3 linked regions of the Lepisosteus oculatus genome follow. The protein of the gene in region 3 interacts with the protein of the main gene of each other region in a pairwise test. Links are inferred from orthologs where the notes say so. Each region holds a gene or a part of one and is shown on either strand. Other genes may lie near its edges. The genes, in order: cope, plod3 and efhc2.

What was found.
Region 1: the proteins of efhc2 (region 3) and cope interact in binary tests that used the Homo sapiens proteins (3 or more experiments, as listed by UniProt). The two-hybrid records come from large-scale screens. The link is inferred for Lepisosteus oculatus from reciprocal best matches to the Homo sapiens genes EFHC2 and COPE.
Region 2: the proteins of efhc2 (region 3) and plod3 interact in binary tests that used the Homo sapiens proteins (3 or more experiments, as listed by UniProt). The link is inferred for Lepisosteus oculatus from reciprocal best matches to the Homo sapiens genes EFHC2 and PLOD3.

What each region holds. Positions count from the first base shown.
Region 1 is NC_090724.1:5,804,385-5,814,725, forward strand, and holds the start of cope (coatomer subunit epsilon), read left to right. Parts: upstream 1-5,972; 5' UTR 5,973-5,987; coding exon 5,988-6,137; intron 6,138-6,716; coding exon 6,717-6,779; intron 6,780-7,253; coding exon 7,254-7,354; intron 7,355-7,760; coding exon 7,761-7,913; intron 7,914-8,488; coding exon 8,489-8,542; intron 8,543-8,926; coding exon 8,927-9,008; intron 9,009-9,625; coding exon 9,626-9,781; intron 9,782-10,341. UniProt on the Homo sapiens protein: The coatomer is a cytosolic protein complex that binds to dilysine motifs and reversibly associates with Golgi non-clathrin-coated vesicles, which further mediate biosynthetic protein transport from the ER, via the Golgi up to the trans Golgi network.
Region 2 is NC_090698.1:6,904,651-6,914,193, reverse strand, and holds the start of plod3 (multifunctional procollagen lysine hydroxylase and glycosyltransferase LH3), read right to left. Parts: upstream 4,767-9,543; 5' UTR 4,595-4,766; coding exon 4,504-4,594; intron 3,119-4,503; exon of another isoform or gene 2,944-3,118; intron 2,870-2,943; exon of another isoform or gene 2,703-2,869; intron 2,541-2,702; coding exon 2,449-2,540; intron 2,178-2,448; coding exon 2,041-2,177; intron 1,187-2,040; coding exon 1,023-1,186; intron 652-1,022; coding exon 539-651; intron 93-538; coding exon 29-92; intron 1-28. UniProt on the Homo sapiens protein: Multifunctional enzyme that catalyzes a series of essential post-translational modifications on Lys residues in procollagen. Plays a redundant role in catalyzing the formation of hydroxylysine residues in -Xaa-Lys-Gly- sequences in collagens.
Region 3 is NC_090710.1:3,617,672-3,627,752, forward strand, and holds the start of efhc2 (EF-hand domain-containing family member C2), read left to right. Parts: upstream 1-6,139; 5' UTR 6,140-6,466; coding exon 6,467-6,499; intron 6,500-8,217; coding exon 8,218-8,406; intron 8,407-10,081. Other genes in the region: fundc1 (FUN14 domain-containing protein 1), read left to right, coding at 1-3, 1,471-1,546, 2,253-2,381, 4,650-4,727. UniProt on the Homo sapiens protein: Microtubule inner protein (MIP) part of the dynein-decorated doublet microtubules (DMTs) in cilia axoneme, which is required for motile cilia beating.

The sequences.
Region 1 (10,341 bases), on a different chromosome or scaffold from region 3:
GGTGTGGTATGAATTCACTGCTCTTTTTTTGGGAGGATTTTTGGTTATGCAACTTTGGCGTGGAAAAAAATCAAATATACCTGTGCAGCCAGAATTACTGCAGTATATTCAAAGCTGTTACAGATCCCGAGATCAGTTCCCGACGGAAGCACTTTCTGTGTGGAGTGTGCATGTTCCCAGTGCCAGGTTTCGCCACATGCTCCTGTCCAAATGTAATGCTAACCGTTATAACTGCTGTTTCTGAGCTGGACGTGTGTGTGTGTGTGTGTGTGTTTGCCCTGTGATCTGTCCAGCGGTCAGGTCCGCCTTGCGCGCTGGTCTTCCGGGATGAGCTCTGGGTTGACTCAACGCTTTACTGGGAACCGGCGGCTTCCCGATAACGGATTCATACGAAGTTGTACGCTGGCTAACGCAGGCAAGGATGTTTTCCAGTAACTGCTTATTTTCTCAGGGCGTTTGTAATATTATATAATCTAGTTTTAATGACGTTTGCATTCTCGATAACCCAGCTGGGGCGACAGTCGCAGTACAATACAGTACAATGTCGGGTAACTACATAGCAATTTCTCCCCCTAGTGTACAGCCGCGGCGCAACAAATACAATTCATCTACATTGACAAGGAATACCAACACTTCTAAAGGTTTCACTTAATATAGTGTTATTGGGTTCCAAAGGAAAGACGTAATCTTTTGTGTAACAACATGCTTTAGCTGTTGTATTTAGGAAAGCATTTACTTCTGGGTTATATCCCTGTAATTAAGGTTTATTGACATACAGATCTAGCGTTTCTCTGTAAAACCTGGCAGGTGTGTTTGCTTTTTAGTCATCCTGTTCTGTTGAAGAACACATGGTCCTCGGTAGTCACACCTCTCCTAAATTTCACGTCCCCGCATAGCCGGGACCGGCGTTGCCAAGGCAGCGATGCATCTGCGGGTTACCTAGGCAACCGCGGAAGCTGCTCCGCCCGGATGAGCTTCCTCGCTGCCGCTCTCGGAATCTGAACGTTCACACACTTTATCACTAAGATGTTAGGCGCTGTGTTTTCTTGCATTCATCCCAGCAAAACACAATTAAGCGTCTGTGGATTATTTATTGTTTGACTGTCATTATCTAACAAGGGATTATACTATTATGAATTGATCCACAAAGTCCCACTAAAGAACTAAAGGAATGTAGCGTATTTATGCAAACAGATTTAGAACTGTAAGCTTCCAATAAATGTTCTTTAGTGTATAGTATTGTTTTGATTAAATGCACTGCAGGCGAGAGAGAAAAATCTAATGAAAGACGCATTCATTTAGAAAACGCAGTCCTAACATCGACATCCGGTGGGGTTAACTTGAAGCCCACAGCAAAGAGCTGATAACGAAGTGACGTATTCATCGTTTCTTGGTGCCTTTTTGCAACTGACCAGGCAATAAGTGAGCTGTTTCTCAAAGCGTTTACGGAACCACGAAGCGCAGAGGCGACGATGTACCCCAAACCAAAACCAAATGGTACATTAACATTTCAAAGTCTTGGAAAAAAAACAACAACAATGTCCCTTCCTTTGACCTATTTTACCAACATACCGTAAGAAGATACAGCTTTAGGTATCTGTCTTCAAGTGCAGTTCGGAAGGGCAAGCAGATCCAGACATTGCACGGCGAAGATTTATCGTGCTTCCTTAAGGATGTTTTTATGACTCAACAAATCAAACAGGATATATTTCACGCGCGCCAGTGCCGCTAAAACTATACAGCTTGTTTCCCCTCCAAACAAGCTGCGTTTCGTCATACGCACAAATTAAATACTGATAATCGATCTCCGTTCACACTAATGCAACTGTGCAGAGTTCCTCTTCAGGCTTTCTCATGCAAACCCATGTATGTGGAAACACACACACACAGCTGAGGACGGCCATCCCTGCCGCCGAGTCAATGCGAGGCCAAAGTTCATCTCCGTTTTTTAACCGATCTGCTGGGTGGGGAGACAGGAGAGCGCTCGCTCGTTTTTAAATTCATTTGACCCCCCCAAACAAAGGCAGCGCATGTGAGAGAAAGCAGACATGCTACTTCTGTTTATCTCGACTAGCAAGCCGACACTGACAGCTGTCAAGCTCTCGGGGAACATCGCACACACGACCACCACCAAGTTCGGTGAAGAAGTTCAAACGTTTATAGACCTGGCAAAGAAACGGCACCTCGTGCGGAGCCAGGAGGGGAAGTCAACTCTGATTAAACGTTTTAATTCTACCGTTACTACACTTTTTTTTATTTAAAATGCTCTCTCCTAATGGCAACGCCCCCCATAATTAATAAAACCGTGCTCTGCGCGCAAGAAATAAATGTAGAACTTACCTATAAGCGTTCTTTGGCATGTTTTCAATGCGATCTATCACGAATATAGGTTAAGATTTGAAATTAACAACGTCTTACCTTCCTTTCTTCAATGCACACCGGATACAGCGCGTAAACGCACAAGAAGCGCCTCTCCGTCCGTTTTGTAAACTTTACTCAAGAGTTGCTTTTTCAAATCTTCATCGCAGCAAAATCCCGGACCTTCATTATGGCCAAATCAGACAATGGTCTTTTTTCTCTCTCTCTTCGCCTCGCAATGTCGGAGTCTTAACTTGTCGAAATCGGGTAATTAATTCCCTGCTTATCCGCGTCTTGCGTTAGACGGTATGGTCTGTGTCAGTTAATAGCTTGTAAATAATTGAAGAAGTTTTTTTTCTCTCTGGGATCAGTTACAGATGGGGGGGTTGAAACTTGACTCCTTACAAAGTTTCAAACTTGGGAGACTTGGGAGGCTGGAGTTTCGGCCGCTTGATTGACAACGTGGATGACCAATGACAGCACAGGACCTGCTGTAATCTGCCCAATCGGATAAGGCACGGAACGTAATGTGCCCGCCCCATTCCTTCCCTGCCCCCAGCCCCGTTTCCAGTAATTATCCACAAATCGGGTCCCAGCTCCGTGGCTCAGTTTCCCAAAGGAAATGGCATTAGCAGAACAATGGGAGGGAACTGAGAGGGATTTATTTGTTATAATATAAACAAACAGAGCTGCAGCTGCACGCATTCACGTTTTTTAATTAAAAAAAGATAAAACTGAAATCCAAACTAATAACGTCCTTATTCGTCTTAAATAAAATGATGTCATTTCCTGACGGTGCAGAGATCGCAGTCCAGATGCTACTACTACTACTGACGATATCAAGATATCCACAAAACGTAACATCCATTTTCTAATACGCCTCTTTTAGATCAGGGTTGGTGGGAAACCGGAGATTATCCCGGCAAGCAACGGGCGCAAGGCGCACTCCAGGTCAGGAACTGACCCCAGGGCTGCAGAGCTGTGAGGCAGCAGTCCTAACCACTGTGCTTCAAAATGCAACATGAATATTATTATTACTATTAGCATATACATCAAGACTAAATTAAAAGCCAGTTTTCCGGCACAAAATGTGGGTACTAAATGCAAGCTCCTTTAAAACTGAGAACAGGAGGTATTTCTGTACACAAAGGGTTGTAGGAGTCTGGAACAAGATACACAGCCCTGCTGTCGAAGTCGGCCTCTGATTTGCTGTACACATTTTCTCATGACCTGAACCTTTAATTATCTCGGTTTGACCAAGTGGCAGAGATGAACTGTCATTTCTTCGGAAACACGTACAGCTATAGGTGCCCATTGTTTGTTGATATAGTGTGTTTCTATGAGCTCAGACGGAAAGCTTCACGGTGGGGTTTCCCAATCAGCCCCAGAGCGGACCAGACATGGTCCCTTATATTAACAGACGGATGCTATCTGGACAGTATTGTTACAGCTTTCCGTCGCATGAATGGAGGCCTGTTAGAGGAATTCCTGTATTTAAGACAATTTCCGAACTAGACACGCATTGTAAATAAATATATATTGTAATTAAATGCCGTGCCCCATTGTATCCAGACACACAGCACATTTGCTTTGTCATATTAACGCAGGGGGAAGGAAACGCTCGGCATTGTACGTTTTCCTGTGTTAAACATTAGCAAACAGTACATGATCGGGGATTTCTATTCTGATTAAAAAGAAATTACATTCTAACCTATATCGCGATTGATGTACTTTATATCCGTAGTGCTGGGTTTCCTTTCCTTGGCCTATAATTGCAAAAGACATGAGAAGATGTGAATGGGAAATAACGCGATATGTCAAGAGCGATTTTTTTTTCCCCGCACTATATCCAGTCTTTCATGTTCTTCCCAGTGTGCGCGTGGGTTTCCTCCCACAGTCCAAAAGCATGCTGGTACAGTGGGTTTACTGGCCCTGAGTGTGTGTGTGTGTGTTCGTGTCTGTTTGCCCTGGCGTCTCGTCCAGGGTGCATCTTGCCTGTTACTCGAAGGGGTCGTATCCAAGTCACTTTCCCCCTGGAAATCTGTACCGCACCGCTACCTCAAGAACACAGGTTTTTGTTTTTTGCTTCCTCCGCAGGTGAAATGATTTATATGGAACTCACAAGGGCAAAGGACGCATACCGTGTGTGTGTGTGTGTGCACTCTTTCGGGATAAATAGCGGATTTCAGCGCACACGAACAGAGAGGCTCCCTTTTTATTCCCGATTTTGAAATCGCAAAGACACAAACGCACGCGGGAGCCGCTTATTTTGCGGAGCGCATGCGCATGGCCGAGTGGGGAATACAGTTTTCCAGGGGAGACAGATTTGGATAAGCCACCTGGATATGCTCCCCGCGACGCTGGGTTGGAAGAAGAGTTTAGAAAATTGTTGTTTTTTGGATTATTTAAACGTACTGCTCGCATTGTCCGCAAATATAGAGATAGTTGTTTTGCTTTTTTTCGATTGCGACGTAAACTTTTAAGTTAAAGTGGCTTTCGAAAGCCAAGCAAGGTTGGGACGAGTTAGTACTGCGATGAGAGACTTTTGACCCCTCGTTGCTGAGAGTGCCGCACGAATCTTAGATTGTAGGTCACCCTAAAGCACATGGTGCTGAAAACGATGAAAAACTAGGAAGACGTTTTTAAGTAACAGAACAATTCAGCGAGTAATGTTTCGCTGGCCACTAGGGTTGAAGGCTGCTCTCATTTTAGTTCAACGTCATCGCTACATTACTCAGTCGAACACACCCCTTGATTAACTGACCACAGGTAAATGGATCCACGACTTTAGAAACGAATGATTAAAGACTACCTGTAAAACTGGACGGACTCCCCTGCTCTAAGGAAAATGAGGCAACTGCTGTTAGCTTTGTTGATCGGCCAGTAGGTGGCGCTCTGATCCCTGGTTCACAATTTCCAGGCCATTGTCTGCCCAGGCATGGCGGCCGTGGACACTGTGCTGTAGGAGACGCCGTCCTTCGGCTGGGGCAATAATCCGAGGGCTCTGGGCTTGTAAAACGTGGCCTCCCTAGAGTTCCCCCTTTGCTTCCTTGGTTAAGGTCCTGTGCATGGAGGCTGCAGAATGGATGCCCCTAGTCACCAGGAGGGGGCAGCACCTCAGCAGTGGATGCTGTCAATCCTCCTCCTATATGTAAAGTGTTAGAGATAATGAGACAAGTGACAGGTGCTATATTAATACAGTTTCTTATTCTTATTTCAAACGGCGAATACAGTATAAGGAAGGTCTTTGCTGTAAGGCAAATATCGCTACGCGGTACAGTCCTTTAGCAATAAAAATATGAAACTATTTAAGTAGCTTTTATTATACAAGAAACAAGAATATATATAAGGCTTTACGTCATTGTTGATGAGGAGGCAGACAATTGCACCGCTCACAAAAAAATAGAAAAGGAGAAACACAACGTTTTGGTTGTTGAGCCAAATCTAAAGTAGCGGAACACCAGAAACGTTTTCTGTTTTTCAGCTTGGAAGCGTCCTCTGCATTGCTGCTTTTACAGCCATCGCACATTGACGCAGCTCACTACTCAAACATCTCTAATTGAAAAATTGCCACTTTCAAACTACATCTCCCATAACCCTCAGGGGGCGGGGAAACGCCAGCTCGGGAGATGACGTGGCTGGCCAACGTGTCCAGGAAGCTGCTCGGTTCGGTCAACATGGCGTCTCAACAGGGAGAAGTTGATGAGCTTTTTGATGTAAAAAATGCGTATTATATCGGTAGTTATCAGCAATGCATTAACGAGGCGCAAAAAGCGAAGGTAAGGAGTATCTGGAAACGTTATTGTGGACTGTTTTTTAAACATTGCACTGTTGATTCAGTAAGCTGTTATTATAGTGAAGAGAACGAACCGAGAGCACATAATATAAACACATCATACTTCGATGTTTTTACTACTTTGATACAGTTGTAAAAACAAAGATTATATTTGAGTACGAGTGAAACAGTCGTCAAGGAGAATCCAGATCCGTTTTTTTTTTGTGTGTGATCGTGATTTCTTACTGACAGTATTTATAGTGCATCTCTTGTATAATGTTGGACAAATCGAGCCGTTGTAATGAAATACAGAGGAGTTTGGGACACAACTGCGGATCTGTGTTTAAAGCTGTATCTGTTATGTAAACGTTTCACAGAAGTACATCAGAGGTTTAGTTTTTGAAGCGTTTCAGTACCTTTCCGGATTCACGGACGTGTCCTTCAAGTGGCTGACAGGGACTCGAGGTTAAATCTTTATAAAGGAATATCAAACAGTGACATTGAACCAATTCCCTGAATTTAACTCACATTTGTAAGTGAAATAAGTTGTTAAAAAGTGATTCTCCCCTCCCTTCCCTTTCAGCCGTCAAGTCCGGAGAAAGAGGTTGAGAGAGATGTGTTTTTGTACAGAGCGTACATAGCTCAGGTAGGTACTGCTCCTTCATTTCCATGCCTGTGCAGAGTCTCTCTCTGTTTTCACCTGCTCTGCTGTGACTTGTCCATTGTCTCTTGGCCAAAAAAAAGGGACTTTTTTGCCATATGTTTTTTTTACCATAGCAGAAACCAGGCTATAATATTCAAAGTCTGTTTGAACTTTACTAAATGTCTGATTAATTGATAATGATAAATCCTTTCATGAGGGTGGGAACAGAGAGTATATTCAGGGGAACAGTAATTAAGTTATTATTTTATGTATGGAAATTCTTGTACCTTAATAAAACCACAAATATTTAAAAGGTCTGTTTGCTCAACGTTCACACATCTCCAGGATTTGTATTGTATCAGTTTGTGTGCAGGTGTTGGCCTGGGTTGATTTACTGCTGGATCTGGAGCTTGAAGGGTTGATGCTCTTGCTTCGCTGGACTGGTCGTGATAATTCCTCGTGCTCTTTGATTTTCAGAGGAAGTATGGTGTGGTGTTGGATGATGTCAAACCCAGCTCTTCACCAGAGCTCCAGGCAGTCAGAATGTTTGCGGAATACCTCTCTAACGAGGCCAAAAGGTCAGGTTTGGGTCCGTAAAAGATAAACAATACCTAATCAAACTGAAAAACATCAAAATGAAGGGACAATGAATGGAAACCAGAGCTAACTGCATGTCTTGTAAATGAGATTGTCTGTCCTTGCTAGATGGAGGGAATGCATGTGAGTTCTGTGTTGCATAAGAGACATTTTGGAAGAAAAATCCAAGACAGAATCTTTTCTGCATATAAATGCCCTTAAATTCATTAATGATCAAGCTGTTATTGTGCTGCATGTTTTGCTCAGAGGTGTCATCCTCTGTTGCTATGTTTGTGGATTATTTCGAGTCTGTGCGTTTGACCATGCTAGATGTTTTTTCCATAAGAGAGAGAGAGAGTGTGAAAATGGTTATTTTAACTGCTTGAAGAATCTCTGCCTTCGGTTCAGGGATGCCATTGTGGCGGAGCTCGATAAGAAGATGGCGAAGAGTGTCGATGTAGCCAACACAACCTTCCTGCTCATGGCCGCCTCCCTTTACTTCCACGAGATAAACACGGACGCGGCCCTGCGCACCCTGCACCAGGGAGACAGCCTGGAGTGGTAAGACTCTCTGAGCCCGGCAGTGTCCGCCTCTGTCTCCCTTCTTCTTGAGGGAGGAGGACAGGGGGCTTAGAAATCAGCTCGGGGATGAAGCAGAGCAGCCTCTCGCCTCCATTGCCTGCAGGGTATTTGAAAATGTTTCTGATCGGCACCAAAGTGCAAAAGAATCCAAAATCTGCCGTCTGCGGCCACTTCAGAAGTCTGATTCTTCTTTAAATTGATTTGATTTCAAATGTGTCTGCCTTTAAAAGCATGTTCTGGAATATGCCCGTTGCCTTCCTTGCTTTTTGAAAACGTAGAATGTTTTTAAGAAGTTGCAGGGAAATCAGTTGTGAGATAATCCTAGAGTTTTTAACTGCTTTAGTTCCTGTCTCTTGGCTTTTCCACATATTCAGAAAGCCTGTACCCTCATGTCAGAGGCCGTGATTAAATGAACATAATGTTCAGACTTTAATGGGTGAATTTGCAGCAGTGATGTCTATATGCCCTGTACACTTATTACCTTTCACCTATCCCAGAATGTGCTAACATGGCTTTTTTTTTAAATATCTTGTTGTTGATTAATCTCGTTATAGCATGGCGATGACAATTCAGGTGCTGCTGAAGCTGGACAGGTTGGATTTAGCCAGGTAAGTGTGGTAGGGGGGAATGTTTTAATCTTTGGCCAAAACTGAAAGGCCAGAGAGTGAACATTACAGTGTAATTTCTGTGTGTAGTAGGATTTGCATGCCGTGAATTTCAAAAATAATTTATTTTGTAATCTATATTGGTTTAGAGTGCAGGTTTAGTCATCCTTCCAACCTTGAGAACATGTTTGTCAGTAGTTCTTTTGCAGGTGTTATGTGTGCAGTTTTTTAAATGTATTTTGTAAAGAAAACCTGCTGGTAAATTCTACAGTTTTAGGGAAATCAGATATGTTGGAAATGCTCCAGTTATTAATTCAGACGTTCTAGTCTATTTGGCACTGTGTTCGGTGCGTAGACTTGTTCATCGACTGCTGGGTGTCTCCACAGGAAGGAGCTGAAAAAGATGCAGGAGCAGGATGAAGACGCCACCCTGACTCAGCTGGCCACCGCCTGGGTCAATCTGGCCATCGTGAGTAGCTGCCTCCTCAGACCAGGGTTTGAGCACCTCAGACTTGTCTGGAGCACCATAGGATGGATTTTGCTTCAGATGCAGAAAGACCTCTCCTTCTGGGATATTCTCAAGGAATGACAAACGCCTACGAAGAAAACAGGTTTAGCAATATTTGAGGAGTCTAGCAAAAAGCTTTGGCTTTATCTGCCTAGCTGAGGGTCAGCAAGGAACAAGGAGGTCACGACCCCCAAACAGACAGGGGACAGGGACAGATGGAGAGGAGGGGTGTAGGATGACGCCGAAGGATAAATGCGAGCAAGAGAGAGGCTTGCTGGGATATTTATAGTTTTTTCAGGAAGTGATGTCATGGAGAGCGATGCGTTAGAGTAGTAGAGATGAGGGGGGACCCTCCCGAACTTCCTTTTCGAACCATATTTATCGTTCCGAAATAATAAAAGTCCTGTGAAAAACGTAGCCTATGAGTGAAGTGCCGCTGTCGAGACATTTTGGAGGAGTCCTCAAATTGCCGTTCCTCGTGAATGCCCATCCATGCATCCTCAGGAATACTGGTTGTACTGTTTAGCTGTGTGGGCTCAGAGGGAGGTCGGAGTTCTTTGAGGTCTCTTTGCCAACAGGGAGGAGAGAAGCTCCAGGATGCCTACTACATCTTCCAGGAGATGTCGGACAAGTACTCCGCCACTCTGCTGCTCCTGAATGGCCAGGCCGTCTGTCACATGGCACAGAACAAGTGGGATGAAGCCGAAGGCGTGTTGCAAGAGGCTCTTGATAAGGTACAGTAAGAATGCAGAGGAAGGAAGGGCCTAGTGATCCACATTCAGGTCTTGATAACCCAATGCCATTTTTTCTGACAGGGTTGAAGAGTGCTTTGCTACAGCATTTTGTTTTTTTTTCTTAGAAATCATTGATTTTTTTTTATGCACTTGCCAAGACCTGGCTTCCACTGCTGCCCCAGGTATACAAAGGCACACAAACGCACTCACCTGTCAAACCCTTGTGCCTTGAGGCACACTGCTGCTTCACAGTGTCTTACAGGAGAGTTAACTGTGAGTGAGGGAGTAGAGCATCCCCCCTGCCTTTGCTGCAGTCTTACAGGCGCCCAACAAGTCCTAGGAGTCACTGTTTGGACTGCAAGAGGGCCTTATCGGTCGGCTACGGTTGTGATCCAAGTTCGAACCATAGACCATAAGGATCAAGCGCCTCTGGGATTAGGCTGATTTTTCTCAAACCAATAACTCACAGCCGCGGGTCAAAGATCTGTTGGGGGCATTGCTGTTGTAGTTCACCTTATTGTACCATAGATGGCGCCATGCCCCTGTTACAAGAATGTTAA
Region 2 (9,543 bases), on a different chromosome or scaffold from region 3:
GACGGGAGAAGGGAGGACAGTGTCTCACCTATGGCACCGTTCAGGTTCTGGAAGATCCGCGACCGGTGATCCAACGTCATGTTGTACTTCTCCTGCAAGAACAGCACCGCAGTGACTGCCAACTCCTCCACAGCGCGCACACACACACTCATGTCCGTCAAACCCTCGTGACTGGGCATGGTCTGACACCGGGAAGAAAGAGCTTTCCGAGAACAGAATCGGACAAAAGCCGACGACTAGGCCTCCTTCAAAGCTTGTCTGCAAAAGCAACAATAGTCTACCATGAATGCTGCAGACCTTCCATCTGCCTGCTGCAGAAGGATCAGGAGCCCAAGCACAGGCGGAGGTCAGCCCAATTATAGCCCACAACAATCCCCAGTGAATAAAGGACGCTCTGTTTGTTACAGTTCGTGCCGATTCTGTTGAGAGGTGGTCCTGGGCTGTGTACTGATGCTGCGTCAGATGTGTGCTGTGCAAACTCCAAACTCACTGCACCCTCCCGACTTGGTGCTGTGTGCCCCCACTATCCTCAACTGACCCGCTGCGCCTTGTCCAGGTAGATCCTGGTGTAGAAGAGCTGGTCGTCATCATTGTCTTTGTATTTCCACTGCTGGATAATGCCGTTGAGCTGCGGGGCGTAGCCAATGAAGCCTGGGACAGAAAGGGAGACACGCATACGGACATAAGAAACATAACACTTTGTTCAGAGCTATTCTGCATCAGCAGGCTCAAGCTGACTGCTTTTCTCCACTGGACAATGCACTCACTCACCGGTTAATTGCGCGAGAGATTTTTCCAGCTCCCGATTATAAAATGACCCTTTGTAGAGTTCAGAATCGACAATTTTGTCCCGTTTAAAAATTCCCTTCCGCCTCCCACAAAAATTGTGCACAATCCTGGACCATTTTACTATACTACAACAGACTGTTGCGGCACATAGTTCTACACTCGCCTGTACTATATTGTCTCACACTGCACTTGTCTGTTCTGTGCCACCTGCTCCACCAGGCACGGTCTCTTACCCCCAGAGTTCAGGTAGCGCTTGCCAGTGTAGACAGGAGGGTATTTGGAAGCCAGTTTCTGATCTGGCCAGCAGAAGCCTTCAGCAGAGAATACCACCTTGTGATTCATTCTGCCGAACTTCCACAGCAGCTCCTGGGGCCCGCTGGCGAAGATCACGTCATAGCTGCAGGAGAGAGAGAGAGAAGAGTCAGGGCCGCCCTCCTCTCTCCTCGCTGGGGCACGCCGAGGCTCATGGGTACTCTGGAACTTCCCCTGGAACTTAGGGGATCTTCCCACGCTGGGGTGCCTGTGCACACTGGGGCCCTGCGGACACTGGATGAAGTGCCTGGACTCTGGCCAGCCTGGCTGGTGATGCGTGGGTGGCCAGCAGAATTGACCGTCTCCCTGCAGGAGGGAGACAGCAGCGCTATCGGTTGTCGGACTGTCGTGCCCGAGTGGGCGCATGTGATCTGTCCTGCACGCACACGCGGGACAGCACACCTCCCAGCGCTGTGAGAACACGCTCAAGCAGGCAGACTTCCACAGCAGGCAACTAATCGATCCTTTATTTCATTATTAGTTCCGTTTTCCTTTCCAACTTCCCTTACCCTTCACTCAGGGCCCTGTCGTTAGCTGAGCTGCTGTGCGTTAGCTACCCCATAGTTTCTGTCCCAGATTGTTGGCTTCCTTGTTTCAGTGCTTTCCCTGTTCCTTGCCATAAGCGCACTGCAGGCTTTATTTTTCATCTCTTTCTTTTCCCCTTTGTCTTTGACGTGGCGTTTCCCACCTCAGCGCTGCCTGGGACCTGCTCGTGAGCTCTCGGCCACACCTCGGCGCCTCATTACACTGACAAAACGCCTTTTCACCCGAAGTGGGGCAGCTGTTGTCTGGGCAGGTAGGACCGGTGTCAGGTTCGGTTACCAGAGCCGCAGACGGGAACAGAGAAAGAGGAGAACGAGCATGTGGACAGGGAGGGGAAGAAACTGGACATTCCAGGAGAAAGAGAGACGGAGAGAGACACATTCGGCATGGCCTGACCTGTCCACAAACATGACGACCAGCTCCGGTCTGTCGGCGTATTTCTGGATCTCCTTCTTCAGCCAGCGTACCTTCTGTCCCCCCCCGACCGTCCGCAACACGTCTCCCCCCCGCCACTCCTCCCCCAGCCCCAGCACCTACGGGTGAGACAGAGCAGAGGGGGAAGGTTAACCACCAAGAGCAGGACGGCGAGACACGAGCTAGAACCGATCACAGTCCCAGACCCCATCCCTAGAGAGGCAGACCACCCCGTCTGAACGCAACACTGGCTTTCCCTCCCGTCTGCGTCGGCTTAGGGCGCCGACACCCGTTCAGTCCATCGCCCCTTGACCCAGCCTGGGGAACAAACTGCCCTCCACCCCTCTACCCCCGTCTTCAAGGGACGGGCTGGGCAGCGCAGGGCCTCACCTTGACGGTGTAGTTAAACTGCCTGCTCGTCCGCATGAAGCGCTTGAACCCGTCCGTCTCCTGGGTGGCCGCTGTGATCACCAGCAGGTTCTCTAGAGGACACAGATCACAGTGCAGCCGATGTTAAGCATGTAGTACGATGCACTTATACACTGCATTCTAATGTACATACTGTTATAGTATACAAATCACATAATACACGGCATCCAAAAGGCACATGTACAATGAGGTGATTGAACCAGAACACCACAGGCTGACTGAATACTCAATCTCCTTCTCCAGCTCTCTGGAAGGACGTCCCCCTCCCTGCGAGTCAACACTCCCAGCCCCACCCCCGTGGGCATGGGGGGATGGCAGGCAAGACTGAGCAAGACCAACCCAAACTCGCCACTGTACCAGAGTCCAGGTGCCGAGATCTCAGGTAGGAGCCACACGGATTTACCCAAACCGGTCAGCGTACGCAATTCTGACATCCTCACGTGCTGTTCCCCACAGTTTGCACGAAGATTCACCACAAATATCCCCCGAGCTCCGGCTCCGCGGCTCCAGAACCGGGCCAAGGAAACGGCACGGACAAAACCCGGCGGTCAGGCTCGGACTCATTTTCATTGTGCAAATCCAGGCCCCACCATCGCACCGATCGAGCAAGGACAGGCCCCCGGTTGAGAAGGTTTCAGAGTGACGAAAGTTGAATATTTTGTTAGAATGTGTACTTATCGTGAGAAGTTCTGGGTGAAATCAACTTTATTCCGATAGGAAAAAACTTTAAGAATGTGGGGTGTCAGCCAGGTTAAGGCTGTATATTGGAGTATAAAACTTGCTACACTGTCTCCAACTCCATCTACCTTTCAGTGGGTATTATTTTGGTAAAAAGCACTTTATCGGTCCTCACAATGGGTCAAATTCTTTTTCATTTACAGATGAAAGAGGCCAGCAGCCCCAGGGAGAGAGCCCTTATTTCTGCTTTTTAAATTTTTCCTCCCCACAGTAACGGTCAGAAAGCGGGAACCACGGTCCATATCGCTCAGTTCTCATGGGAAAACCCGGAGATGAACCCAGCTGGGGGCTGGGGAGAGCGCCTTTGTAAGGGAGAGATCTTAGAAATCCCGATTCTGATTTTTGGTTCTAAACCACTGCGGCTGTGTGCGTTGTCTGCTTGGTCTCGGTCAAAGGATTTAAAAAAAAATTCTTAAAAAAGTGTCATCTCTCTCATACGTGACTGTGTCCCCGCGCTGCGAGCCCGCGGGTGGGTGGGGGAGCCGTGGGGTCGCACCAGTGAATCAATCGCCGCTTTGTACTGCACCCTTAGGCTGACACCGCAGTGCTTTTCACTCCCTCCGGCGAGCCGACCTGTTAATGAAACCGCTCACGACATTTGCCTGCGCCCCTGCGTTGATGTGTCGAATCCGCCGTTAAGACGTTTTCAAAATTTCTCCAACCCGTCTGGGAAAACAGCCGATCGATTCGATGTCCGTCTTCACTGCTGCGTAGGAACTTGGGATCATAGGTTTTAGTGCTCCCCTCCGCCCAGTTTCCCCAAACAGTTCACTGCTTGTATAAAGCGGTTTGTTTTTCTTTTCAGAGACCAATTACTTTCCAGTGATTGGATAGGAAGAAGATAGCGCTGTGCGGTCGGATCAATCAATTAATCAATCAGTCTTATTGGAGGAATTAGCCGTTTGTTAATGGCACTGAGCTTCTCGGGACCAAGAATCCAGACAGCCCGAGATCCGACCTTATTTTCTCAGATATTGAGAACTCTGGGCGAAAAGCGTACCATGGTGAAATACAACCGAAGTTAACAGCCTTAGCAATACGTACATTTCACAAAAAGAGTCATCTCTTTACCAGAGAATCACCTTTTCTAGCTAGCTTACTGTAAAACGCAGACAGTGCAGTCATACAAGGCGTGAAATAACACAGCTGTAGTGGCCTTGTGTTTTAAAGTTTACACGGCATTAGCGGAGCGGACTGAGATGCCAGTATGCGGGTGCAATTTATAGCGTACTCTTGTGACGGTGCGCTAAACTGTTCATTCCGAGATCACGCTGCTACCTGGAGGGATCGCCTGCGTGTCCGCCGACGCGACATGGTCCGAGATCCCGAGGCAGATCGCACAGATGAGGAAAGCAGAAGTCAGCTCCATTGCGCTGTCAGTCCCTTGCCTTCCCTAATTTTGTCTCGTCTTCCCTAACCCTGTTCTCTCTGGCTCCAGCACACGTCCCCCACTCACTCTCCCTTTAACCCGACGCCCGCAAAGTCTCGCGAAAACTGGCCCGAGCCTAAAAAATGCACCTAAATCCCGACACACGAGACCCGCTCCGGCCCCCTCGGACGAGCCAGCCAATGAGCTGCGCCCGGCCGGTGATTGATGTGCCCGCCACCCAGTCGTAAGAGAGGACCGGAGGAGGGGGGGCGGGGCGACAAGGGGGGGTAGGACAAACTTTCCTTTTATAAAATATGTTTCGGCTGCCTGAATGGAAAGTTCTTGAATAGCGGAGGAGGGTGTCCGAGTTACCTCCCCCGTGCGAGGAAGGGAGTCGGAAGATGAGTGTTGCCACGTCTCAGGAATTGGAACTGGAACTGGGGGGCTAGATTTGGTGGGGAGGGGGGTCCGGGTCCCAGGTCTATTGACGGGATATGCAGAACGACTTCTTCGGACTTGTAATTCACTTTCAATGGGAAACGCCGCAGTTCCCGTTAAGCGTCCGCAGTGATAGTGCTCATTATCTTCATCATCTGCCCCGGTTTTTAATGACCCGTATTTCCACGCTGCCCAGTATTCCTGAATTAGCCCCTGGATTGAAAAGCCTGCCTCTCAGTGTGGAGACACCATGTAACTGACTTGTTGATTTGGAAAGACGGGACCCATCACTGTTACCGGGTGTCCACGTTGTCCTCTAGTTCGTGTGTATATCACGGCCCACGTCACGGATATAGTATTTTTCCGTTGTCCAGTTCTTTTTTGTACTGGCACAACGGCACGCGCTTCTACTGCGATCTGTTATACCTGCTTTTGCTTACACTGTCCTGTATACGATGGCATTGCTCTCGTATCAGTAGCTAATGTAAAATGTAATTAATAATAAAGTAATAATGCGAACAATAAGAAGTATAGCAATAACAACACTAAATATCACGTTACATTAAAGGCACGTTAGAATACCAGATGGGATCCGGAACCGAAATGACGGATCAATTCAACAGAAAAAGCCCCGCTTCTCCAAGCCTGTTTTATCGCTTTTGAATATCGTGATTATTAAGAAGATGAAGTTTATTTTCGTGCGGTGCTCCAGGCTGGCCCAGGCGGCTCGCGCGCCCGCTCTGCTGACCTTTAAATGACCTAACTGGAGCCTTGATTGAAGCGACAACTTGCTTGATTGCAGGTTGTTAGTTGTTGTTGTTGTTGTTGTTGTTGTTGTTGTTGTTGTTGTTGTCCTAGAAACCCCGGGGTTTCGTATTTTGACCTGCGAAACACCATAGACGATAAAAGGCAAGTTTCAAGGCGGATGAAGCGCCGAAGACAGTCGGACGGTTCAGATGCATCCTGTAACTGGGCCAGTGAAGGGTTCAGCCGGGCGACTCAGAGCCGGCCGGGAACTCAAACCAGACGTGCGGGCCTCCGGCACAGCGATAAGGACCCCTGTCCCCAGGGAGGGTCCTTCTCTTGTGATGGTCTGTTGCTCCTAGGAGCATAAGAAACACTGCAGATGAGAGGAAGGGGTGGCCAGTCTACAGGAGCTTGTTGATTGATCCAAGGATCTGCTCCTTCTGCCATCTCATGAGAGAAGACAGGGTTTCGGTTCGGACCGTGTCTGATCCACTTGTTCCTCAAACGTATGAGTACAGAAAAGCCTCCTGTTTGTTTGTTTTTATCAGTTTTCACTGCACTTCGTGTGGATGTTCCCCACTAAACCGCGAGCGTGTGCGCGCGTACACAGGTTATGAAATCAGCGCACATAGGAAATTGAACTGCGCACAAAAAATTAACCCCCCCCCCCCCAAACAAAAATGATAATAATAAAACAAACACGGTCGTCAATTGAAAAATGCGAAATTGACCACATGAGACTGGCTGCGAGAGGCTCAACTTGGCTGTGTGCGTTATTATTATTATTACTACTCGATAATCGGTATCTCTGCTCTCGTAGTCTCGAACCCACTGCTCATGCTCGCTCGACACCCGGTCTCTATGACCGGGCTCGTGGAATCGCCGTCCCAATCTTTTGGATCTCTATGCTTATATTTGGATGACTATATTAACAAAAAATAATTTCAGGTTTACAGTTTTACATAAGCTCAGTTTAGTGCGCACAAGGTTTTGTCACTGGTGAAAAAATTTGCACAGCTTGAAATGTTTGCGCACACCGGCCGTAAAAAATGAGTAGGAACGTCGTTCGTCTTTCTCTGTTGCTTCTGCCAGCGGAGGGCTGGAGAACGATTACGTGGATGAAATGCAGAGAACACTCACATGTGAAAGGTCAGTAATTGTGGCTGTTCCCAGGAATCCCAACTTCCTCCCAGCTGGGAGGTGGGTGGGAAGCCGGGATGATTTATGGTTAACTCCTTCAGCCCCACCGTTAGGAGAGCAGAGCTCACACAGGGAGCACAGCACCTAGAGGAGGGGTGGGAATAAAGACCCACTGACCCCGGGTTTGTCAGCTCCAGTCCTGCCTGGGCAAAGCCACTTCATGGAGTCTGGAGCCAAAGTATGTAAGATCAGATCACTTTATCGGCCCTATACAATTTCTTGCATTAGGAATTTGTCTTTTCACAGACCCCAGCTTGCTCTCCATGAGACACACAGACAGGGAGAGAGCTGTCTCTCTCTGGGCGTCAGAGAGAGAGCTGGGCGTCAGAGAGCTGGGTCAGCCATTTATACGGGGCCCCTGGAGCAGTTGGGGTGAAGGGCCTCGCCCAGGGGCCCAGCAGAGTAGGATTCCTCTGCCGGCCGCAGGATTTGAACCGGCAACCTTCCAGCCACAGGCACAGATCCTGAGCCACAGTCCAACCGCTCCGCCCCATGACCAGTCATGTCAGATGACAACAGCCAAGTTCAATCAGCCTCGTCAGTCAGTAATTTGTCATCATTCCTGATGTCATTTCCTCACCTTAAAACAATAAGCACTATGGGTCAGCCCCTTCTCTCCCTTGCACACGTCCTTTGCACCCCTCCTCCAGCTCTGCAGCTGCCCCTTGGTCACCCCTCAGTACACATGGGGGTCCCAGCCTCCTCGTCCTGCGGCCAGGACGTTGGCCCTCAGCCCTTAAGCCAAACCCACTGAGAGTAAAACACTCTGTAAATTTGTCACCACATTTAGTTCTGGGGTGTTGCTATTCCTAGTGCACATGGGATTGTGATTCAATTTTTTGTGCGCTCGCCCAAAAATCAGGAACCCCCCCAAACAAACATGGAGGGGCTTCTCTGAGCTGTACATGTACTGTATATCACAAGGCTGGGAATTACAGTATGTGCTACCCAGTCCCGCCCTATTGATTAATAATAATAATAATAATAATAATAATAATAATTCCTGACACTTATACAGCGCTCTTCTGGACACTCCACTCGGAGCACTTTACAGGTAATGGGGATCCCCTCCACCACCAGTGTGCAGCCCCACCTGAATGATGCAACAGTTGCCATAGTGCGCCAGAACGCTCACCACACACCAGCTCTCAGTGGGGAGGAGAGCAGAGTGATGAAGCCAGTTCAGAGATGGGGATTATTAGGAGGCCATCATTGGAAAAGGCCAGGGGGAAATTTGGCCAGGACACCGGGGTTACACCTCTTCTCTTTTCAAGAAACGCCCTGGGATTTTTAATGACCACAGAGAGTGAGGACCTTGGTTTTATTACTCATCCGAAGGACAACACCTATTTACAGTATAGTGTTCCCATCACTAGACTGGGGCATTAGGACCCACACAGACTACAGGGTGAGCGCCCCCAACTGTCCCCACTAACACCTCTCCCAGCAGCAACCTCAGCTTTCCCAGAAGGTCTCCCATCCAGGTACTGACCAGGCCCACACCTGCTGAGCTCCAGTGGGCTGCCAGCTGTGAACGGTGATATAGTTGTATAGATTAAGCAGGATTGCCTTTAGTGAATTTTTGTCATGAAAGCGAGCATGATCTTTGATTGAACTGCACGTTCTACTAGTTCTATTTTTACCATGTCTTTTTATAGGATTGAGATCTGGGGATTTCTCTGGCCAGGGTGACTGCATCCTTCTTCTCCAGCAAACCTTACAGTGCCTGCCTCTGTGAGAGCTTATCCCTCGGACTCTTCCGAAATGAACTTCTGAGGAAGGAAACTGAGCACCAGACACAGATGGTGTAAATGTCTCCTGTATATTTTTCCAATGTGGATATGTAGGGAGGCAGAAAAGCACAGCGTAGTTCAGTATGATTTTAAAACACGTTTTTTATGAACAGCCATCTGGTGAGCAAGCAGAGAGACACTGTGTTCTCTCATTACTCAGCATAAAATGCACAAGTGCATAGAGTGCATTTTATAAGCCATAAATGTTGCAAGTTGGATAAGGATACAACATACTGTAAATTTACACACAGAATGTAAAAGGGTTAAACATGGTACAATTATAAACACCAGCACAGAATTGAAATTCTTCTTTCCAGTTCTTGGACAGTGTTGCATACTCTTTTAGTCAGGTAAACAAAGATTCCTTAGACAGGCAGCTCTTTCTTTAACATGAAGAAAGCTAGGTACATCCCAAAACCTACAAAGACATACAGAACGAACCCTACAAACAGCTGTCACACCTGACTGTCTCTCATCTGGGTTCATTGTCAGACATTAATGTTCTTGTGGCTGGCAAGTCTGCTTCTGCCCTTATGAAGTAGGCAGCATTCCAAGACATGAAGACACAGAAGCTGGTTGCAACTCCACTGAAGCTCTTTCAGAGCTCATCCCCAGAAAACAAGACCAAACACACAAAACCTGCATACAGCTGGCCCGCTTTGGGATCCAGATTGAATGAATATATGAGCTCCTGATCCACTACTGCCACAAGACTGGATAACATGGGGAAGAGCAGATTAAAGCCTGTGAGAGGAGTAAAGAGCTTTTCCT
Region 3 (10,081 bases):
CTGGTAAGTATACAGACTCTTTAAAGGTACTTTATGGATTTGTCTTAAAGTACATATATATTAGGTTATTTCACTTAAGTAAAGAAATGAGTTCCCATTGGAATGCCTTTATCTGTACATAACTACTTGTATAATAATAGCTAGAACGCTCATTAGCTATTAGTGGGGAGGAGAACAGAGTGATGAAACCAATTCATAGATGTGGATAATTAGGAGGCCATGATTGGTAAGGGCCAATGGGAAATTTGGCCAGGACGCCGGGGTTACACCCCTACTCTTTTCAAGAAACGCTCTGGGATTTTTAATGACCACAGAGAGTCAGGACCTCGGTTTTATTCTCACCCGAAGGACGGCGCCTGTTTACAGTATAGTGTCCCTGTCACTATACTGGGGCATTAGGACCCACATGGACCGCAAGGTGAGCGCCCCCTGCTGGTCCCACTAACACCTCTTCCAGCAGCAACCTTAGTTTTTCCCAGGAGCTCTCCCATCCAGGTACTGACCAGGCTCACACCTGCTGAGCTTCAGAGGCCTGCGAGTTGTGAGTTGCAGGGTGAAATGGCTGCTGGCGTCTGCTGGATATCGTCTGCTGGACAGGAGCTTCTTTAACGCAGCAATAAGATGCAGTGCCAAGTCAGGGCTGAAATGTGAGTTTTCCTGCCCCCCCCCTTCCCCATAATCAGCACAGGTGTGCAAGGGGGCTCCCAATTTGCTTGTTCAGATATCAGGCAGCAGCAGCGTTACGGGCTTGTAGCTTGATCTCGTCGGATCGCAGAAGCGGAGCAAGGCTGCACCTGGTCAGTACTGGGATGGGAGATCTCTTAGGAAAAACCAGGTTGCTGCTGTAAGTTTAGCTCATAGACCAGCTGTTCTCTCTGGACAGTTTGGTGACCTGGGCCACTGCTACCGTGTAGGAGGTACCATTCCACTAGACTCTTGCAGGTCATGTAATATCTCAATGTCATTGATTATGTGGCTTGGAAGATGGCATTACTTAAGGTGCTTAACAATTAAGGCCTAGAACTGCTGGTCCAGGCATATGTTGTGCAGGATAGCTGGGTATTTTCAGTCATCTTTAATGAGTGCAACATAAGTTAACAACAGTTAATCAGACCTGTATCTTTCTGTGCATTCTGGGCCTGTTAGCCAGAGGATTACTCCCTGCGTGGTTCTTGAAAGCAGAGCTGACTCCGGCACCTAAAATCAGGGCTGTTTCAGCAGAGCGTCATTCAAGGGCAGAAAAATGCAGTATTTGGTTAAGTAAGTATTGTAAGTATAATCAAGAAAAAACATTAAAATTGCACTGGCCATACTGTAAAAGGGTGGCTTTGAACAGTAAGGGATAATGTTGTACCACCCTGGACACTCCAGGGCAACAGCAGAAAACCCTGAGGCACGGGTTGATGCCTTTCTCTTTATCTTAATTTATTCTTTAAAACCCCAGCCCTGACAACTGTTTCCCTTGGGCAGGTGCGCAGGGTACCTGTTCCAGAGGGTTGGGAAGATTGCAGCAACTGCGGTTGGCGGCGGCTTCCTTTTACTACAGGTACAGAACGAATCGTGCTGACATCTGCGACGTCCAGAAACGCAAGCCTGACAAACGGAATGGGGCCACCGGGGCGTTGAAGTGTCCTTGCATGCTTGGCACAGCACTGACTTCTCAGGAGATAGGTGTGCTTCCGCCCCGGTTCACTGATTGGCTGGGAGCGTGTCAGTGCTGGCACTCTCTGTGTTTCATGTCGGTTGGCCCATTGCTTCGGCTGTTAAGAGGAATACTAAAAAATAAAGTGCAGAAATATCAGACCCTGGGAGGAGAAGGAGGTACAATGCATGTGTTAAAATGGTGTAATCACAGGTTGGTTAAATGTAATTATACCACATCCAAATGGCTTTCAGATACCAATGTAATAGATCAGCATCTAGTTGTGTAAAAGATTCTTGCTAAAAAAGTTTGATCTGGGAGCCAAAAAAAGAGGTGATGCTTCAGTTCACTCTGTCAAGTTCTAAATGTGCAATGGCTCTGGTTTCTCATGAATGCTTGTAGCATTGTCTAAAATGGGAAACTAAGGGGTTGGCTTTTTTCTTCCGTATTTGAAGATGCCTGAACTGATTTGTAATCAATACACTGATGATGATATTGCCAAAATCAAACATTATGGGTTTGTTTACATTTAAATCGCTGTCAGATTGCTGCTCTTCGCAAACTTTTTCTCCTGAAATGTGGGAACGATGATTTTGTTGCTCCTTTCCAGATTGCAAATCACAGCGGATACGTGCAGGTCGACTGGAAGAAGGTAGAAAAAGACGTCAACAAAGCTAAAAAGCATCTTAAAAAGAAGGCGAACAAAGCCGCCCCTGAAATCAATAGCTTCATTGAAGAGGTGAGACTTCCAACCCATAACGACGCAATTTCTGTTGCTGTCAGAGGGTGCTGCTATATTTAAATACCCTCCTCCCCCTTAGCACGGTGGTATTATCCTGTTTTCCCATGGTGCTTCCAAACCCAGTGCTGTAAGAAATATCACACTTCCGCAGGGCCATCTGCCTCAGACCTCGCATGGCACTGAAGGTGCTACCATATATGGAATGTGTTCGTATTCTCTCCAGTTCAAGCTCAGTCCTGTCTTGCAGTTCCATCATCTCCGCGTGAAGGCTTCTCACTTGAACACAGCTCTGTGCACTTGACTGCAGGATCATTCGGGTTCAGGATCACTGGTGGAAATCCACAGTGCTACCTTTGAAATTGTTGTATTTCTTTTGTAGTAACACTGGCTTTAAGAATGAATTCAGTGCAGTTGTTAGATCATATATTCTTTTGTAATGTAATGTTAAGCAACAGCTTTTGCTGTGGAAGTGGAAGTGCCTGAAGTTAAATGTGATCCAAGATCCAGTGGAAGCCACGAACTGAAAGTGGAATAGATAAGAATTGCTATAATCCATATCAAAGAGTCAATGATGAGGAACTGTGGTTTCAATTCAATAAAATTAAAAATACCTGTTTTCTTGTGCAAATCAAGAGGCATTACTTGTACATTAATTAGTTGTTCTTCTGTGAAACTGTGACGCCTGCCTGGTAAATCCCGTTCTGAAGATGGATTGCTGTACATTTCAAGCTAGGACATGGTTAATTTGCACACAAAAAAAGTTTAAGGATTAAGTAGAAATAAATTGTATTTGTTAAATTCAGATCAGCATCTGGTTGTGTAAAAGATTCTTGCTAAAAAAGTTTGATCTGGGAGCCAAAAAAAGAGGTGATGCTTTGTGTGGATTTTTATTTGGTGAAGCCTTCCAAATTTAAATTTGGAATCTTCCCCGAGTAGTTATCAGCTCAGCTCATATCGTGGCGGGGTGGCGCGGTGGCTCTGTGGCTGAGGATCTGCGCCTGCACTGGCCGCAGGTTCGTATCCAGAGGAATCCTACTCCGACGGGCCCCCGAGCAAGGCCCTTAACCCCAACTGCTCCAGGGCCACCATATAAAAGGCTGACCCTGTGCTCTGACCCCAAGCTTCTCTCCCCGTCTGTGTGTCTCATTGAGAGCAAGTTGGGATATGAGAAATGACAAACTCCTAATACAAAAAATTGTATATGGCCAATAAAGTGATCTTATATCCTCACCCCTTGTTCCATACTGGGAGAGAGGAGATCAATGCATGTACTCCTCAGCCCCGCCCACCTGTCAGAGCACACTTGCAGTCCTCAGCCCCGCCCACCTGTCAGAGCCACACCTGCAGTTTTGCTCCTTAGCCCCGCCCACCTGTCAGCATCTCCCACACTATGTGCCCCATAGGTCACTGGCAGGTCTTGTGGAGGAAATGCTGGACACACAGTCCTGGTGTGGTTCAAGGAGCTGCCACCACCTGGGGGAATGTAGGCACTGCTGGCCAATAACATGGCTCAGTTTCAGCCACCCAAGACCCAACAGATATCATCTCCTGACAGTGCTTTTGTTAATGCAGTAGTGTTTTAAGGCTAATGCTTATTAATCTTTTTGGAGAATAATGTTTTGATACAATCGAAGAGTTGTATCCTATCCAGGGTGTGCCCTGCCTTCCACCTGTCAATCTCTGCGATAGGCAATCGGTGGTTAAAAAAAGGATGGATGGATACAATTGAACAAATGCAAATTAAATGATTTTTGAGCCTGTAATAATGGAGGGAGGCACTTGAAACTGAACGAAACTTAATTTTTTTTAAGAAGTCATTTTGTAGATCCTTAGAAAAATGTGAAAGCACAGCTGGAATAGCTAAACACTGGGTATTAAAGGTGATAATATTTCAGGCATTAGCGCCCCCTATTGGAAGAAGTGACCTTCCTTTGGTTATTCCGTTAGGAATAGTTTCTTAGACAATTTTTAACACTTGTGACATTATTATCACAAAGCACTGTTGCGTTTTTGTCTGCTTGAATGTGCAGTGTGTGCATGCTCTGATGCTCATATTGTTCCTTTCTCTGTTTTCCTTTGTGTTCTAATACATTGGTGTACAAAGACGTTCATCTGTCACATTCAAGACCTCAGTGGCCCTAACCCAGTCACTGGAATCTCGGGTCCTCTCCCTTCTTATTGTGACCAAGAATAGTAAAATATAAGTTACAATTATAAAAAAAGATGATAAAATATAATCTTTGCTCTTCCTCTTCTGTTTTGCAGTCTACGGAGTTTGTTAAGAAAAACATAGTGCTTTCCAGTGGATTTGTGGGCGGGTTCCTGCTGGGACTGGCATCTTAAAGCCAGTTTGGAGAGATGACCTGAGATCCAGAATAATAATAACTGTGAAGTATTTCCTCTGACTGGGCTGGTATAAGAGAAGGCGCACAAGCAGAGCAAAGCCATGGCATGCTGCAGTTCTCTCCTTCCCTTTACTGAGTCTCTAGAGCCATTCGAAGCTGGGCTTCTTAAACACAATACAATTAAGACTGTACGGGATATAGGCTTTGCTTTACGTGTTTCATTGCATTCTGAACTGTTTTGCCGCGCCATTGATGAGTAATCTGTTTTGTTAAAGGATTATTTTAATTTTACTGGACAAGAAACATGACTACGCAAGGTATATGACCAAGTGCTGAATATATTCCTTAATATTAAGGGTCACGTTGAGTTACAATTGAATTATTTTGCCTCTGTTTAACAATGAACGTTACAATGTGTATTAGAAGGAGTGGGATAATATATTTATTGCTGTACTGCCATAACATAAATGAGAAAATAAACTTTTTTTTTTGGTTTGGTGTCTTTTTTTACTTTTTACTTAAAGATGAACGGATTGACAAATACTACTTTCATCTTTCATTTTTCAATTACATTACGTGGTTATATAATTGTGTGTCTTTTTTAGTTCAGCCTTAACTGCAAATGTACAGCAGCTACCTCCAGAGAGTTGAAAGGAGCCTAAGACAGGTCAGCTGTACTCACCTCATCTTTGTGGTGGAAGGTAGACATTAGCAGGAGGTTTCACTAGGGTGTAAGTGTCCCGTACAGCACCAGGCACAAAACAAAATGAATGTATTCTGTAGTTTTGGCTTTGTACCATCACGCAGGACCTGAGGAATAAGCAGCAGGCTGATATTCTCCTCTTGTTAGTTTTAGTGAGGCTAGATGCTGCAGATTTTTAAAAACAAATTAGGCTGGCCTTGCTCATTAATTACGGTCCTTACATTTTCAGTAGGCCGGATGGAATTTAGATCCCGAATTAGAAGTGATACAATGGAGAGTGTTAGCAGGAGTGATCGAGGGATTCTCCAACCTTTAAAATGAAGGCAACGTGGCGATCTGGAAGATTATTGTGGAATCGGTTTGTCGTTTGCGCAGTGTTGAATACTAATATATCTTGGATGCAGCATATGCCTCCCAACCTATAGCTGGCGAAAGGTATAGAATAATTTGACTTCCGGAGCAAAATCAAACGTGGAACGCTATTTTTTATAAGACTCAGTTATTACAGTGAATAGACTTCTTTTTGATATTTTGTATTTTCTCTGAATAAAGACGTTTCCACGGTCTTGGAGATAAACGTCAACGTGGTGTACATCATTAATATCATTATGACGATTATGACTTTGATTTCCCTTTCCCGACAAGTGTCGTTTTCGTATTTATAAAAAAAAAACATACGTTTAATAGTAATTGGCATGTCATTCGGATAAAGCTACACGGAAAGAAATGGGTTGTGTTTTTGTTTAAAGAATCTTCGTGCTGCTGAAGATGGGTGGAGGGGGGCATGGGGTGGCGTAAAAATATGAATTCAGGCTGTAGAATAGTTAAATGTCATGTAATCCGCACAAGGACTCGGTCGTTCGAAAAATGACGAGCAATCGGCGACACACTTGCGTGTCTTCAAGACCTGCGCAGATCGTGACGTTTAGGAAGGTTTCCTAGCTACCCGCCGCAAAACGACGCACTCTCCTTAGCAACGGAAAAGTTATCAGTGTTTGGCGAGCTGTGGGATATAAGCAATCGCTCGGCCCATCATGTCGCTCCCGGGATATTCTCCCAACAAAAACGTAAGTTTTCTGCCAGTGCTGTTTCTGTTTAGTCCCGTATCAATTCTATAATAAGTGGTGAGGCGTCTGTACAAACTTTACCTAGCTAAGGGCTAGGTGCAGAAAGGGTACCAGTTACTCAAACGCTGCATTATTTAAGGTCTGTGCAGAACTTTAAAAAGAACACAGACTTAAATGAAATCCATATGATGTGTTTTAGTATTCCTGGTGGCGCTTTAGGTTGCGTTGAACACAGTTACCAACTTCGAGCAGTGCTTCTGTCAAGGGAAAACGCAGGGAAAGACTGTTGCTCAGCCATAAGAGAAAAACTCAGGACGGTTTCTGACCTCAAGCCTTGCTGGGTTTGTTGTTGAACGCTAATCTACAGTACAGCAAATCAAATACTCTGTTGAAAGTAGGTCCAAACAATATGTGTCACATCGGAGGTGTTCACATCCTCCGCACATCTTGAGCCGTGTTATTGCACTACATAGACGAACACAACACCCACTTTTTTAAACAGAAGAAAGGTGGCCAACGACAGGCCATTCGACCTGTATAGCACCTTTGGCTTCTAGTATCTCAGAGATACGTGGATCTTACTGAGCCATTTCTAGAAAGAAGCCAGGGTATCGCCTTCAATGACTGTGTTGTTTGTTCCCTGCTCCCACATCCCTTTTGTAAAGAAGTGCCTCCTGTTTTCAGTTTTAAATGTGCTTCCGCATAGTTTCCACGTGCGTCCTCGGATTTGTTTTAATGTTCATGTTGTCAGTACCTTTGAAGGAATTTTGCATACTCGTATCAGGTCTCTTCATAATCTTCTCTGTTCAAGTAGTTCGAGTAGGCAGCTGCGTCAGCATGCGTAGGCAGCAAAGGAACAGGTAAAGGTTTATTCCACGCCGAAAAGAGAAGAAAAGAAGCACAACATTTCGGCTGTGGAGCCTTCTTCCGGCAAAGAGTAAACCTTTAATTGTTTCTCTGTTCGAGGCTCGAAAGGTTGAGATCCTTCACCCTGTCCGTGTAGGACATCCTCTTAAACCCAGAGTGCCTGATTCTGGATCAGCAGTATCTATCTTTTCTAAAACATGGTGACCAAAATTGCACATCATATTATAAATGAGGTCTTCTACATTTTTAACATAGTATCCCCCAATTTTACTGTTTAATTAATGCACAGGAGTGTAATAACAGTAGCTGTGTGTATATTACTGATTGGTTTCACTGAGTAGAAGATCATTCTCTATATAACAACATATTGTTGCTTTAAGGGAATTTGCATCAAACTCTGAATCTGTTTTCCCTTTCCTGTCAAGCACCACTACATTGAAACGAATTCCATATGTTACTCTGTTTCTGAGAAGATAACACTATCCATTTTTTTTAATGTTATTGGTTGTAATGTAATATTTTGCTGAACTCTTATGTTATACAGAAAAAGGAGTACTTCAGACATGTTTAGCCTTTTTAAGTGGAAGGATGGCTGCTGTGAAAATTGGCCCTGGTGTGAGTGTGTGTCTGTGTGTGTCCCAGCTATCCTGCTCTGCCCCCACTGCTTGCTAGGATAGGCTCCGACTCCCTCATGACTCCGACAGTAAAAAATATTGGAAAATACAATATTCGGTGGAAAATACAGAGTCTCACATAATTCCGAGTCTTTTATGGGCCTTAGGGTGCTGTTTTTAAAATGTGCGACAGTCCCTCTTTAAAAGTCCTTTGGTCTGCACATTTTGATCTTCCAGCTGGGAAAGGAGAAATTTCACAAGTCCCAGCATTTTGATTTTTCCAACGGGGTTCGGCTGGCGGTCGGTGAAGAGAAGCCTGGTATCGGGGGCGAACCACTCCCGGGCCAGAAGATCCGCCCCAAGTACTCCATGTTCCCCCAAGGAGAGGGCAGCGATACTCCCTCATGGGTTGCCTTTGACAAACAGGTACTGCACCTTTCCCAGTAGTCTCTGTTATTGTTATCCAGTGACATAAAGTAACCTTGTGTGACATATCACAGGTATCTGTAACTAATTACTAATTACTAATTAACTAACAATGAGGTTACGGATACATCAAAACCTAATGTAAAACACAGCTATAACTCTCTGCAGCTCACAGCTGGCAGCCCACTGAATCTCAGTTGGAGTGAGGCTGTTCAGTACCTGGATGGGAGACCTCCTGGGAAAAACCGAGGTTGCTGTTCGGAAGAGGTGTTAGTGGGGCCAGCAGGGGGCGCTCACCCTGCGGTCTGTGTGGGTCCTAATGCCCCAGTATAGTAAAGGGGACACTATACTGTAAAAGGTGCCGGTCTTTGGATGAGATGTAAAACCGAGGTCCTGACGCTCTGTGGTCATTATAATCCCCGGGTGTTTCTCGAAAAGAATAGGGGTGTAACCCCAGTGTCCTGTACTCCTCCCTACTAATAGCTGATGTGTGGTGAGTGTACTGCCACACTTTGGATGCCATTACATCATCCAGGTGGGGCTACATATTGGTGGTGATGGAGGGGACACCCCATTACCTGTTAAGCACTTTGACTGGAGTGTCCAGAAAGCACTATGTAAATGAAAGGAATTATTAATACTGTACAGTATAGTGCAGTACAAGACCTACAAAAAAACTGTTATTGTACATTGAATTGATTGATGCCTTTTCCCAAGACAGGTTACAGTAAAAATTCTGCAACTCATTTTAAATAACATTTAATAAGGGTAAAAAGAGAATAAAATCTACAATTTTCATAATGTAGTGGACATGCTATGCGAGACAAATTTAGCATAATAGAAACCCAATAAATGCAAAATGAAATGGGATTTGAGCAGTGTATCATGCTGAGGGGAAGGATAATCGAAGATCACGATCTAATTCCAACCTGAAAAAATGGATCTATGGAGAACCAACCTGACTGTAAACATAGGTTGAATTGTGGAAAAAGAGCTAGTTCCAGGGAGCCTCTGGTCTCTAAAAGAGCAATCGAGACAGTTTGTCACAGCTTGGAAACACCTGCCTGAGGTTTTTAAGAAGTCAGTGGGCTGAGGCTTTTTGACTGACTAACAAGCTGGTGAGGAGAAGGAATAACTAGGAATGACTGAGCGGGGCCATTTTGGAGAAAAGATGATTATCAATGGAGGAGGAATTCACATCAGGATCACCCTAGTGAAAACACAAACATGGACACAAGAACTAATAATTGCGATGTCTTTCCAAAAAAAGCCTAGTGTCAAGGCCTGCAAACACGCCCCCATCCACCTGGTCCTTTGCAACAGGATCAATATTCTTTCAGAGCGCGAAATTCCACGGTAATTTCAGCAGGGCTTTTGAAGTGCAAATTAATTTTATTTTTCTAAAAGCAAATTTAATTGCCAAACCGTGTTCCTATTCCTTGTTTGTATTAATTCCTGCAATGTCTCATTTTGTCTTAACCATTTCCATTCGTTTGACCATTTTAAAGTTTGTTTTTAAAAGTGGATGAGCACAACAAGAAATTAGAATAATATTTAGGCCTTTAACTGATGTTATTTAATTGAGGTGTGAAATTGGTTGAGTTCCACGGATCTGATCGGTTAAAATTACAGAGAAATTAACTTTTTTTTTTTAATTGACCATGGATTTCTGTAG